Linked DNA regions of Caenorhabditis elegans. The protein of the gene in region 2 purifies or fractionates together with the protein of the main gene of each other region. This does not show direct contact. Each region holds a gene or a part of one and is shown on either strand. Other genes may lie near its edges. The genes, in order: atrn-1 and F59B1.8.

The links.
Region 1: the proteins of F59B1.8 (region 2) and atrn-1 fractionate together in Caenorhabditis elegans (co-fractionation; one large-scale study listed by BioGRID). This does not show direct contact.

What each region holds. Positions count from the first base shown.
Region 1 is NC_003284.9:14,709,998-14,717,780, reverse strand, and holds the start of atrn-1 (CUB domain-containing protein), read right to left. Parts: upstream 6,203-7,783; 5' UTR 6,188-6,202; coding exon 6,074-6,187; intron 5,483-6,073; coding exon 5,370-5,482; intron 5,304-5,369; coding exon 5,216-5,303; intron 5,168-5,215; coding exon 5,055-5,167; intron 5,008-5,054; coding exon 4,894-5,007; intron 4,832-4,893; coding exon 4,387-4,831; intron 4,338-4,386; coding exon 4,079-4,337; intron 4,030-4,078; coding exon 3,944-4,029; intron 3,599-3,943; coding exon 3,355-3,598; intron 3,303-3,354; coding exon 3,159-3,302; intron 3,112-3,158; coding exon 2,928-3,111; intron 2,873-2,927; coding exon 2,749-2,872; intron 2,703-2,748; coding exon 2,543-2,702; intron 1,876-2,542; coding exon 1,588-1,875; intron 1,536-1,587; coding exon 1,362-1,535; intron 1,310-1,361; coding exon 1,145-1,309; intron 1,090-1,144; coding exon 946-1,089; intron 902-945; coding exon 804-901; intron 750-803; coding exon 534-749; intron 484-533; and 5 more.
Region 2 is NC_003283.11:3,641,333-3,646,434, reverse strand, and holds F59B1.8 (CHK kinase-like domain-containing protein), read left to right. Parts: upstream 1-2,191; 5' UTR 2,192-2,197; coding exon 2,198-2,353; intron 2,354-2,891; coding exon 2,892-3,525; intron 3,526-3,943; coding exon 3,944-4,047; intron 4,048-4,099; coding exon 4,100-4,261; intron 4,262-4,319; coding exon 4,320-4,526; 3' UTR 4,527-4,577; downstream 4,578-5,102. Other genes in the region: F59B1.10 (CHK kinase-like domain-containing protein), read left to right, coding at 1,050-1,153, 1,208-1,369, 1,417-1,623.

The DNA.
Region 1 (7,783 bases), on a different chromosome or scaffold from region 2:
GGACGGAGTATTATTTGATTCCAGCATCTCCCGAATTTTTCATCTCTCAATTCGAGCCAATTTTCGGCATGCGAACTTGAGAGGGATTCTTACTCGGGATTGGCTGGATTCAAATTTGATGTGATACTTTTAATATTTTGATAATATTATTACTAACTTGAACATAGTTGAGAAATGGGTTCCAAAAAAAACTTCTATTTTTTTCAGTTTTCATTTTTTTGTAAAAGCTTACATGCTCAATTTCATCTATCCGCCGCTGATTCCTGCGATAAGCTTCTATCCTAACTTTGATCATCCACAGCAGACCGGCAACGACTAGAAGGACAATGAAGCATCTGGAATTTCGTTTTCTAGGAAACCATTTAAAATAGTTTTCAAAGCTTACGCTGCAAATATCACGAAAAACAGGACCCAGTTGATCGGCGGTGATTGTGCAAAACTGACAACAATTTGAACTGGCGTGTTGAAGTTGTATACTCGAACCTGAACAACATAAATGTGTAAACTTCTTAATGGTATTGCAATTAACTTACGAAAAAGGTAGTGTTCGAATCTGGACCAAATGGATATCCCTTATCTGATGCCACATAGACACGTCGGAATCCTTTCGAGTCACAAATTGTATCCACCATCATGGCTTGAGACTTATCCGCGAGCCCGTTCACATAAGACGAGGTCATGTTCAAAGCAACAAGTGCGTTACCCTTTGGAGATTCACAGCTGATTTGGAATGTGACGTCAGTGTCTTTCTGAAAAGAACAAAATTATAATTTATCAAATAAACATGACAAGTTAAGATGTACCTTATATGGAACACTGTATAGGTAAATTTCACTCGTGTGATTATCCTTATCGTCGCTTCTCAACTTGAAGGTGAATATGAAGTCTACGGCTAGCTCATCTGAAATTTGAACTTGAATTTCATTAAACCATAAAACAACTTACAGAAACATGGTGTTCCATTTCTCGGATTGCCCACATATTTCGCTTCACATTTATCACAGCGGTCTCCAGTGACTCCTTTAGTTTTGCAGAAGCATTGGCCAGACACTGGGTCACACATATCAGCTTGATGATGGCAATCGCATGCTAGAAATAATAATTATAATTGATCATTGTTGAAATTTTGATTCAATGTTCTTACGTGAACAAACTCCTCCGTTTCTGGCGTCGCCGTAAAAACCTGGAGCACATCGCTCACAGTGAGCACCGGTGGTGTGGTTTTGACAACTTTGGCATTTTTCAATTGTGACCGGAGGGAAGGAACCAACAGAAGTGAAGCACGTAGAGTGTCCGTTGCATTGGCACGCTGAAAAGTTGGGTTTTAATGAAATCAATTAACCAATGTTATCAAAACTTACCAGGGCAGTCTATAAAATACCAGGTACTGTTTTCTGGTTTTGGCTCTAACGGGCCAGTTGATGTACCACGGATGCAAAGTCCGAGACCAGTCTTGGAGTCGTCTGCAAGCCATCCACATCCTGGATCTCTCTGGCATTCTCCGCAAGTCTTGTGCTCTTCGCAAACAACTGACTCTGAAACGCCGAATAAAAATCGGAATGCAAACGCTTCAAAGAGGTTACTCACCAGCTTGACAAACTCGATTGATAACACTTCCTGAGCCAGATGTAACCCACGAGTGGCATTGTCCATAAGCGAATGACAGCGTGTATGCTTCCAAGTTGATGCATCTATTCGTGCTCGGACACCACATGCACTGCTCAAGATCGGTGCAATCGCTGCAGTTGTTCCGCTGAGCACAAGGCATTGGGCATTCGGTAGCGTTACGGAAGAAAGATGGGAAATGCGAAGGTGAGAGAAACTTGTTGCGATCAGCAAGAACTGACTTGGTCTCATATTCGTAGACGACGGCAACTGAAAATAAAATTGAATTGTTAAAAGTTTGTGATTCCAAGTGTTGGGCGGTTTTTTTTCAAATCAATAACTGTCCTATTTATTGAAAAATACCAAATTAAACAGTGTTTTTTAGTTAATTCAAAAAAAAAAACTCAAAATAAAAACATTGTGTGGCGTGTACTTTTTCTCGTCCACTCACGGGAGTGGAAGGCAAAAATCTGAACCCAACCAATATCAGGCCGCCGACATCTCACGGGTTCCGCACGCCGCTATGTTTAACTCGCAGCGGGCGGAGACAGCTCGCCACGCCCACAGCGAGTTAAACGCAGCGGCGCGCGGAACCCGTGACATGTCGGCGGCCTGATATTGGTTGGGATCCCGATTTTTGCCTTTTCTCCGTGAGTGGACAAGAAAAAAGGCGGGGCCTAAATATTAGGTTTTCTGCAGTACACGCCTTGCAGTTTTTTTTATTTTGAGTGTAAAACTCACTTGTTTCTGGCAGGTGATTATTTCATGCACTATATAATACATAGAAACATGTTCGTTCTGTCAAACTTTTCTCAAAAATGTTTCTCCGGTTTTTATCAAAGTATATATAAAGTTTTCATAAAATTGTGCTTGGCCTCATTTTGTAAGCTCTCAGTTCTCTAGTTTATTCCTCGTGTATATCATACAAAAAACATACTCAAATCCTCCTTGCTCACACAAGGCGATGCTTTATCAATTGGGTACCAAGTGCAGTGTGGTGAGATTCTACAGCTACCACAGTTGTTCTCCATATTGCATGGACGCATTGTTGCAACACTATTTCTTTGCGGGCACTTCTCCCAGGATGTTAGCATGCCCTGAAACGATCGCATAATTTACTAGTCAACCGAAAATTTTTCTCACCGGTCCATCCACACACTCTTGCTCATTTGGAAGACATTGCTCTCCTGAGGAGCACCATCCGCATCCGGATTTAGAGGCGCAAGAGACACAATCCGTTTGCTCTTCACACGTTTTCAGAGCGAGTCTGAAAATGTAAAGCTTGCAAGTTGAAATTCGATGTTTTTTTTTTCAATTTTTACCTTAATGGTGTATTTGTGCATTCATCAAAAGATTTAGGTGTCGATGATTTAATCATTGAGGCGAACGATGATTTGTAGGAGACTGTTGGGTCAAATGGAACGCAGGAACTGTCGACGAAAACGCATTTTGTGCCATCGGTGATTAGACGACATTCATCAGGTCTTGTAGCTGATGAGCATTTTGCTAAAATAATAAACTTGAACACTTGAGTTGCTTTAAGTTAAAAGTACCTGGACTCAATGTCCAAACGTCGCTCTTCATTTTTCCGTTGAAACCACCAAGAGCATAAAGCTTCTGGCCGATAACATGAACAGAATGGCCAAATCTTTTCAAATCCACTGGAGCAGTTGACATGTTGGACCATTGCTTACAAGCTGAAAAATTAAAAGTAGACGGCTTAAAAATTGCATCACTCAATTGACTCACCAACGTCATAGGATTGCACCATATTTGAAAAGCATTCGCTTTTACTTCCCGCCGTCACATTCGATCCTCGACCTCCAACGACTACCATCAAGCCATTAAGGTATGCAGCAGCATGAAGATATAGTTGAACTCCAGACTGTGGAAGATTCGACCATTTCTTGGTAGATGTGTCAAATTGCATCAAGCTGTCGGTGATGGTGTTGTTCCACATGCTACCACCATAAACCAGAATTGCAGTGGCTCCCTGAAATGAAATGATTTTCCGAATGGTATTGGAATTGTTTTACTAAAAGTTTTGAATTATGTACAAAATCTAAGTTATCCTCGTAAAACTGTCTTACGTCTAGTAATAATTCAACAAGCAGCCGACATTATGCTGTCATCAAAATTTGTTAAAATATGTGTAGCACTAGCGAGGTATCGGCTGTCAGTTTTGGCAAAAATATTGGGGGTTCACAATTGTTAAAAATCAAAAAAAAAACATCTAACCCTGTTTTTAAATACCTTCAATGACGTCACTACGACATCGCATTTTTTAAAACCAAACTCAGTTAATTAACTCAAATTAGTAGGACTCTAAAAAACTTACTGTTGGTGTTGTGTATTCCACTGCGGAATGTTTAAACCTTCCGTAAACATGATCGCTTGTGTTGGCCACCGTCCATTCTTCGGTTTCTGAAAGCATTTTTTTTGTTTTTTCCGACTTCTTTTTTTGTTTCCTTACCAAAATTATAAATCTGCACGTGATGCATAAAGCCAAACAGTGGGTTATAGCCAAATATCACAAACATCTCGGATCTAATCACATGAGCTGAGTGACCTGCAACTGCGAATGGCGCAGCAATAATTGTCTCATTCTTGTGAATCTGTTGAGCCCATTTTTTAGAGCCCATGTCAAAGATCCAAAGCTCGTTTGTTGCGGCTTGTGTCGTTTGGTGACGGACTTGGGTTTTTGTAACTCCTCCGAACATGTACAGCTTGTTCTGAATTCAAAAAAATTGGTAGAGAAGTCTCGAAATAGAATGTACAAACCTTATACTTGACAACTGTGTGATCAAAGCGAGGTTTCGGCATATCTCCGGACACCTCCACCTTACTCCAAATCCGACTTGTCACGTTGTACACGTCAATGTTATTCGGATCAGAGCTTCCATCGAAAAACTCTCCACCGATGCTCCAAACAACATCATCGATAGCGATTGACGCGTGGGAAGCTTTTCCGGTTGGTGCATTGTTAGTCGGGTGAATCAGGTCCCACACCGATGAAGACACTGGCATTTGACAGGTTTCTCCATGAACCCTTGCCGAGAGACATTCACATCTTCCATCAACACATTGACCTTCATGACACGGACTTTCCGTGGATTTTCCGCTGAGTTGGCAGACTTGATACTCACAGTTGAGACCTTTGTATCCATCTTCGCAATCACACTTTCCATTCAGGCAGCTTCCATGGTTTGAACAGTTATACGCACAGCTGCAAATTCACGTTTAAAAACTTCAACAATCTCAACTTCAATAAATATGTCGAAAACTCACCGATTTGACTCGTATGAAACATTGAACCCGTTTAAATTAATGGCTAAGTCACTGAAAAAGTGCACCAGTGCTTTACCAGAAGCCGCAGTGAACTCTTGTGATGGTTGTTCTCCGCTGAAATATTTCATTTTCACATAAAATTTTAAAATTTCAAAACCAACCATAGTGCGGCAAGCTGCTTTCCATAAACACTATCACCATCGTAAATATACAAATAATCCCAGCCGCACTCGGTGAAAAAGCTGTTTATCCGAATTTTGAGTGGAGTAGCGCTCTGCAAAATTTAAATGTTATAGAACATCAATCTATCATCAACACATACATTTTCCGGTTCAATGAGCCATGTGCATTTTGCTGAAGGGCTATAATCCAGAGGTCCATCCGAAATGTAGCTCGCGTTGTCAGATATTCTAAAGAAATTCAACGTTTTTTTTTCTTTCGTTTTTTGTTTGAAATAAAGCTTAAATGTTGCTCACCGTATCCGCCCAAAACAGTGATCGCACTGTGAACCGTACCATCCTTTCGAACAAACACAGGCCTTGTTCAAGCAGACGCCGTTGTAACATGGTTTATCGCATGATGATAATGACTGAAAATTTTTGGTTGTGGGAATTTGTTAAGCTTTGAGATGTTATCGCTAAAAGTCCCTGAGGGAATATTTTGGAAAATGTTATCAACATTTTTTTGATAATAAACAAAATCAACACCACTAGTTTTTCGAATTTTGAAAGGCTTCAAATTTTTCCAATTGCTCTTTCAAAGTCAGAAAATGGCTCAAAAAGACCAAATTTTGTAATGATTTTTCTTGATTTTTTCAAAAAATTTTTTATCATTTTTGAAGTTAACTGAAGCTGCGGCCGTAATTTATATTTTGTTGGACACTTTTCAGATGTTTATTTAGTGCATGAAGTACGTTTTTAGGCGATACATTTACATACATATTTGATTACTTTTGTGTAAATATTGATTAAAAATGTACCGAAATTCACAAAAAATGGTTATAAACCCTGCAAAAGTATGCGAAATAGAAACAAAAACATTTCTGGTCATTGCAACACGGAGAAGTTGATAATTGTTTTTGAGGAATTTCAAATAGATTCACGATGAAATTCAGTCTTTTTTGTCAATTTTGAGTCAAGAAAATTAACTACTCCGCATTTTTTTTAAAGTTTCAACCTACCTTTTCGAATTCAAAATTTGCATGATTTGTTAGTGTGTGAACTCGGGAGAATACTTGAAAAAGGAGGAAAACTCGAAATATAAAGCATGGGAATACTTCCCTTGCTGAAATCATCACGTGCACATCGGTCTGTAAAAAAGGTTTCATTAGAATAAACTTGTCGAAAATAAGCAAAAATTGTCGCAGTAGAGAAAAAGGAACAACACTATAAGCATGACTAATTTGGAAGAAGACACGTCGTCGTAGAGGAAGAAAAAGGCGATGATGATGACGACAATAATGAATGAAAAGAGGCACTGCGAACAGAATGAATCGATCGATAGTACGCTTGCGCGAAGAGATGCGGAGAAGGAGTGTGCCGCAAGAAGAGAACGCAGAGAGAAGCGACGTTAGGTGGGTAAACTAGGTAGACAACACCAATTTGCTTTTAAACGTTCGCGAAATGAGTCAGTGTGTCTTCGCTTTTGGTTTAATTCGAGCGGTTCTTTTTTTTTAACCAACGCAGTTTCTTCAGCTTTTAATAGGTCACAAATGTTGGGTGTGAGGCGGGTGGTTTTTGATCGTCACATTCTAAGAAGCTGTAAATTTCTTTTTTTTTTAAATTAAATCAAAGTACATAGCTTTGGTCAATGTGAAAATAAATTCAAACCATTTATGAAATTATTCATTGAAAATAACCGGGAAAATAGTGGAGAGCAACTGAGTCCCCAAAAATGATTAAAATCAAAAAAGATTTATGGTTAGCAACTATAATTTTAATCAGTCACTGAAATAAGTAACGGCTTGTTTTTTTCTACGTGTCAGTATTTCAGTAGTATCACAAACTTATAATTTTCACATTGGGAAAAAATTGGAGTGAAAAATAATTTAATACTAAAGTGTTTGAAATCTGACAATACTTTTCGCTCACATTTTGCGTCCTGTTTTGTAACTGTGATTTTTTTTCTAGAAAAAACATGGTATATTATAGTTATTATCAACCAATGAAAACAAGGCATTAGAAATAAAATAAAAATATCGAAAAATATTTTGGAAAGTGACCAAGAAACATTGTCAATTTATATGTAAATGGAGTGTTCGAAATTATAATTTTAAAGAAGTAGGCAGGTAATTTTTTTTGTGATTTTGAGAATGAATTAGGCATTCAAAAAAAAACTGGAAAGAAGTAAAAATAATAACCTTTTTTAAAACCCATGTTTTGAAAAAAGATACTGGTGTAATGTTTCCGAGCATTTTTAAAAAACAATCCAATTTTGTTTTATTTATTTTTTCGTTTCGTAAAAAGTATTTCATCTATAGACTAAAAAATCTGAAATTAGCAGACCGAAAAATGTTTGTATTATCACTATTCTTACAAAGTAAAAACCACCACTATCACCCAAAAAATTCTTTATTGAGGGCGTTTTTAAAATCAATAGCTAAATATTAATGTGAAAATGATGTTGTATTGAATTTTATCAGTTGATACCTAATCGAGAAACGCCCTGTTAAAATGCAAAATTATTGTAAGGCATTCCAAAAAAAAAGCTGCTGGCACTGACCAAAACAGTATTGCTACAAGGAAACATTTCGAGGTCCCTCCAAACTTAACACAAACTGAAATAGCTTCCGCTATTTCTGCACAATGCCTCTGCAAATAGTCTGTTCAAAAAATGTTCGAAAGAGCGGAAATCAAGTTTTGGCAGTCGTTTTTCGATTCAAACTATGAGC
Region 2 (5,102 bases):
GAAGTTTGTAGTTTGTAGTTTGTAGTCGGCACCGATCGTTAAAGCGATTTTCGATATCAGAATATGCTATGTATGAAACATGAAGTGGCTTGTAGTTTGAAGTTTGTAGTTTGTAGTTTGTAGTTTGTAGTTTGTAGTTTGTAGTTTGTAGTTGTTTGCAGTTTGTAGATAGTAATCCGTGCCGAGTGTTTTTTATAATTTCAAATCGTTTCTGTTACAGCGATTTCCGATATCAGAGTTAATATGCTATGTATGAAACATGGAGTAGCTTGTAGTTTGTAGTTTGTAGCTTGTAGATTTTAGTTTGTAGTTTGTAGTTTGTAGTTTGTAGTTTGTAGTTTGTAGTCGGCACCGATCGTTAAAGCGATTTTCGATATCAGAATATGCTATGTATGAAACATGAAGTGGCTTGTAGTTTGAAGTTTGTAGTTTGTAGTTTGTAGTTTGTAGTTTGTAGTTTGTAGTTTGTAGTTTGTAGTTGTTTGCAGTTTGTAGATAGTAATCCGTGCCGAGTGTTTTTTATAATTTCAAATCGTTTCTGTTACAGCGATTTCCGATATCAGAGTTAATATGCTATGTATGAAACATGGAGTAGCTTGTAGTTTGTAGTTTGTAGCTTGTAGATTTTAGTTTGTAGTTTGTAGTTTGTAGTTTGTAGTTTGTAGTTTGCAGTTTGTAGATAGTATTTGGTGCCGAGTGTTTTTTATGATTTCAAATCGTTTCTGTTACAGCGATTTTCGATATCAGAGTTAATATGTGATTTGTAAAACATTGAACAGCTTGTAGCCTGTAGTTTGTAGTTTGTAGTTTGTAGTTTGCAGTTTGTAGGTTGTAGTCGGTATCGAGTGTATTAATAATTTCGAATCATTTCTGTTGAAGCAATTTTCGATATCAGAGTTAATATGCGCATGTGTGAAACATGAAGTAGTATGCAGTTTTTAGTTTTTAGTTTGTAGTTTGTAGTTTTTGTAGTTTGTAGTTTTTGTAGTTTGTAGTTTTTGTAGTTTGTAGTTTGTAGTGTTTCAAAGATCAAGCGTGATATTTTCCAGGAATTAAACAAAACGTGTTGTGTCACGGAGATTTATGGGCTGCCAACTTTCTGTGGACCGAAAATAATGGAGTTTTCTGTGCCACCAGAATTGTGGACTATCAGGTATATTTATTTGACAACTATAAATATTTTCCACTAAAACCTGCACATTTTCAGATGTCCCATCTAGGAAATCCAGCAGAAGACCTGGTGCGTCTCCTGGTCTCAACAATTACCGGAGCCGATCGTCAAGCCCATTGGCAGCAGATTTTGGAGCAATTTTATTCGTATTTTTTGAATGAACTTGGCTCGGGTGAAGCTCCGTACACTTTGGAGCAGGTTAGTTTTTGAGAGCAATTTTTTTATTGAAAATAAATTTTTTTCAGCTGAAGCTCTCTTTCAAGCTCTATTTTCCAGTTGGAGCATTGGCTCTTCTTCCATTGTTTGGGCCGGCTGTGGACGCGAAATTGGAGGGGATGGATTCTGAAAAAGCTGAAAAATGTCGTCACGTAGTTATTGAAAAAGTTGCATGTCTACTGGATGACCTGGAAAAGTACCATAAATTTTCCAAAAGATATTTTCAAGAAAAATAGTTTCGTCTATTTTTTTCGAAAATATTTTGTTGCGAACTGCAAATAAAATCTGTGAAATAAATAATTTATTTATTGTTTTCTTCTTGTTTTATTCAATTAAAAAAATTTAATTCATTTTCGAAAAAAATTGCCCAATTTGCCTTTTGTTTTTACAATACCAGATTTTTTTAAAAATTGGTTCCATTTTTTTTTAATTTTGAAATGTATAGAAAACGTATTTTATAGCGTTCATTTATTGCACAACAGTTTGTAGATCAAACTATCAATCACACATTTTCCACCCGCCGTCTCGTTAAAATGACGTCACTCACACACACAAGGCGGGAGGGAAAGAGAGAGGGTGTCACAAAACACAGTGACTACACAATGGGGTCACAAAGTGTGGCGGTTATATAAATAGTGCGTTCGTTTTTTTTTTGAATTCAAGTGTTTCCGTTTTTGTCCTGTCAAATGTGTTATTTCCATTGATTTCTTACACAATTTATTTCCAAGAATTTTTTAAGTTTGTCTTTTTATTATAGCTTAATAAAAGTTTTTATTTTTAAAAATCTATTAAAATAATTTTCAGCTAAAAATGTCTACAAAACCATTGTCAATTTTGCAGCCAGGTACTGGATTATTCAATACCCATGTGACTTTAGAAGATGTGAATAAAGCTATCAAAGAGCAAATGAGCACTGAAAGTGAGCTCACGGCGGAGAGCAAAATGGAGGTTATTGGGGAGGGTAATGTAAGTTTTTTATTCAATTTTTTTAAACAAAAAAACATGTTTTTTTTTTCAACTTGAAAACTGGATTTTTATATGAATTTGTAAAATAGAAATATTATAGTTTTCAATTTTTCGATTTTCCGGAAAATAAAAAAAATTGAAAACAAAAAGTTTCAAAAAATTACCATAAACCATAAAATTTAATTTTTAATCAGCTTTTGCTTTTTTAAATTTTTTTTTGTTAAAGACGAAAATAAACCAAAATGTTAAGATGTTTTTCGGAATATTTGGAAAAGAAATAAAAAAATCTTTGGACGACAGCAAGTTTTCAAAAAAAAAATCAGTTTGCGACCCAATATGAAAAATATGTACCTTCTTGTTATAAAAATTTTAAAATTGAACGCAAATAGCGCCAACCAATCAGTGATATAAGCCACGCCCTTTGCTTATCACTGATTGGTCAGCGACTTTTGCGCAGTGTTTTTGTGCTCTAGCTAGTTTTTATTTGGGGAGATAATGAGAGATAAGCAGTAAAAAAATCAAGCTTCCCATTTTTCAGGGCTTCTCCTCTTGCGTGATCCTAATCACCTGTCACTGGACCATTCCCTCGTCCCATCTTCCCAAGAAGCTAATTCTGAAAATCGTTTCATTCGTTCATGTGCAGGGCCTTCTGAATAAGTCCAATGAAGAAGGGAATTCAGTAATGTCGCCGGAAGAAGAAGCCCATGTGCATGCACATTTCGAGAAGTCCTGTCAAAAAGGGCATAACTTGGAAGTAGAGTTCTGCGAAGCTTTCGGACATTTGGAGGGGCTTCTCCTTCCCAAAGTATTCTTCTCGCAGAAATTCGAGGAGGACAACCCGAATAAGGGATTTGTTGGAATGGAGTTCGTTGAAGGTTCAGTCGTCCGGCACTGTTATGAAAATGTTACTGTAGATGAGCTCCAGCCAATTTTGAAGGCTCTTGCAAGGCTCCAGGCGTTGAGTTTGAGCACCGAAAGCTGCAGAAATTTAGATAATGGAGAAGCCTTTGAAGAGAGTTTAATGGATATGTTGTCCGAAGATGGCCTGAAAGGGATTTTCGATCAAAGCCGGAATATTGACCAGAAATTGAGTGAAAAAGTTGAACGGATTGAGCAGAACCACAAGGAGATTCTGAATTTGGAGACTGTTCTCAATTTGAATAAAGTTGTAGGTAAGAGTGAATTTTTAAAAAATTTCCAAATGTAATTTTTACCGTAGCTTTGAAAATGTTAAAAAAACATTTCGATTTTCTTTTTTGAAAACCATAATTTTTTTACAAACACTGCAACTTGTGATCAAATTTTCTCCTCTTATTTATGTACATTTCTAAAGATTTTGAAAGAAAAAGGTCTCGCAACGAAAATATATCCCATGTTGAAAATAGTTTCTCGCGGCGAAAATTGGATCTTGCCACAATAAAGGATCTCGCCAAAAGTTGAAAAATAAATTACCCGCTATCACCCTCCGTGGTATTTTTTTGTAGGTTGCAAGTTGTAGTTTGTAGTTTGTGGTCTGTAGTTTGTAGTTTGTAGTTTTTACATTGTAGTTCTTTTTTGTTATGTTTCAGAGGTCTAACTTTATATTTTCAGGAATCGACCAAAAAGTTATCTGCCATGGAGATTTATGGGCTGCCAATATTTTGTGGACCCAGACGGATGGAGGTTTTATTGCCGACAAAGTTTTGGATTATCAGGTAGAAAAAATTGATTTAATGTCGAAAATGTTCAAAAAAATGAATTTTTTAGGAATCTCACATGGGAAATCCAGCTGAAGATTTGGTGCGTCTCCTCGTCTCAACTATTTCCGGAGCCGACCGTCAATCTCACTGGGAGCACATTTTGGAGCAATTTTACACTTATTTCACGGACGAGATAGGCTCCAACAATGCTCCATACACTCTTGAACAGGTAATTTTTTGAACCATTTTTTTGGAAATTAAAAATTCTAAAACTGAAAATTTTTCAGCTCAAGACCTCTTTCAAACTGTATTTCCCAGTTGGAGCATTGACACTGATCTCCTTGTTCGGGCCGGCTGTTGACATGAAATTGCAGGGAATGGAGTCTGGAAAAGCTGAAAATTACAGACGGATTGTCATCGAAAAAGTGGATTGTCTGTTGGATGATGTGCTCAATTTTCATGATTTCAACAAGAAGTTCACTGGAAAAAATTAAAAATTTTTGCTTGATATAGTCATTTACTATATATAAAGCGCTTATTCCGTTTGTCCATAGTTTGTAGTCTATGTAGTCTTTGTATTCTGCGAAGTTTTAGCTTCTGGAGGGATAGTGAGTTGGGGTTAGTGTAGGGATATAGTCGGGGTACTGTAGTGGTACAATGGTGGTACGGTAGGAGTACTGTATGATTACGGTAGTTTCAGAAAAATTGGTTTTCAGCTCCAGAAGTCGGGGGCCGCGCTGGAGGTGCGGTCCACGGCTGGTTGGAAAATAAATTGATTCATGTAACTTGAGGAATTCTATGCATTTGTCAATTTTCTGGAATTAGATAAAAGCGTAATTTAGGCTAACTTGGCTTAGGCCTAGGCTTGGGCTTATGCTCAGGCTCAGACTTAGGTTTAGGCTCAGGCTCAGGCTTAGGCTTAGGCAAGCCAGAATTTTCTGAAAATCGGAAAAATATAAATTAAGAACAAAATCTTCAATATTATTAAACCTAACAATGAAACTATAAACATTTAAAAATGCATTTGCCTGAAAAATTTGGTCAAATTCGGAAACTGGATGAAAATTTAT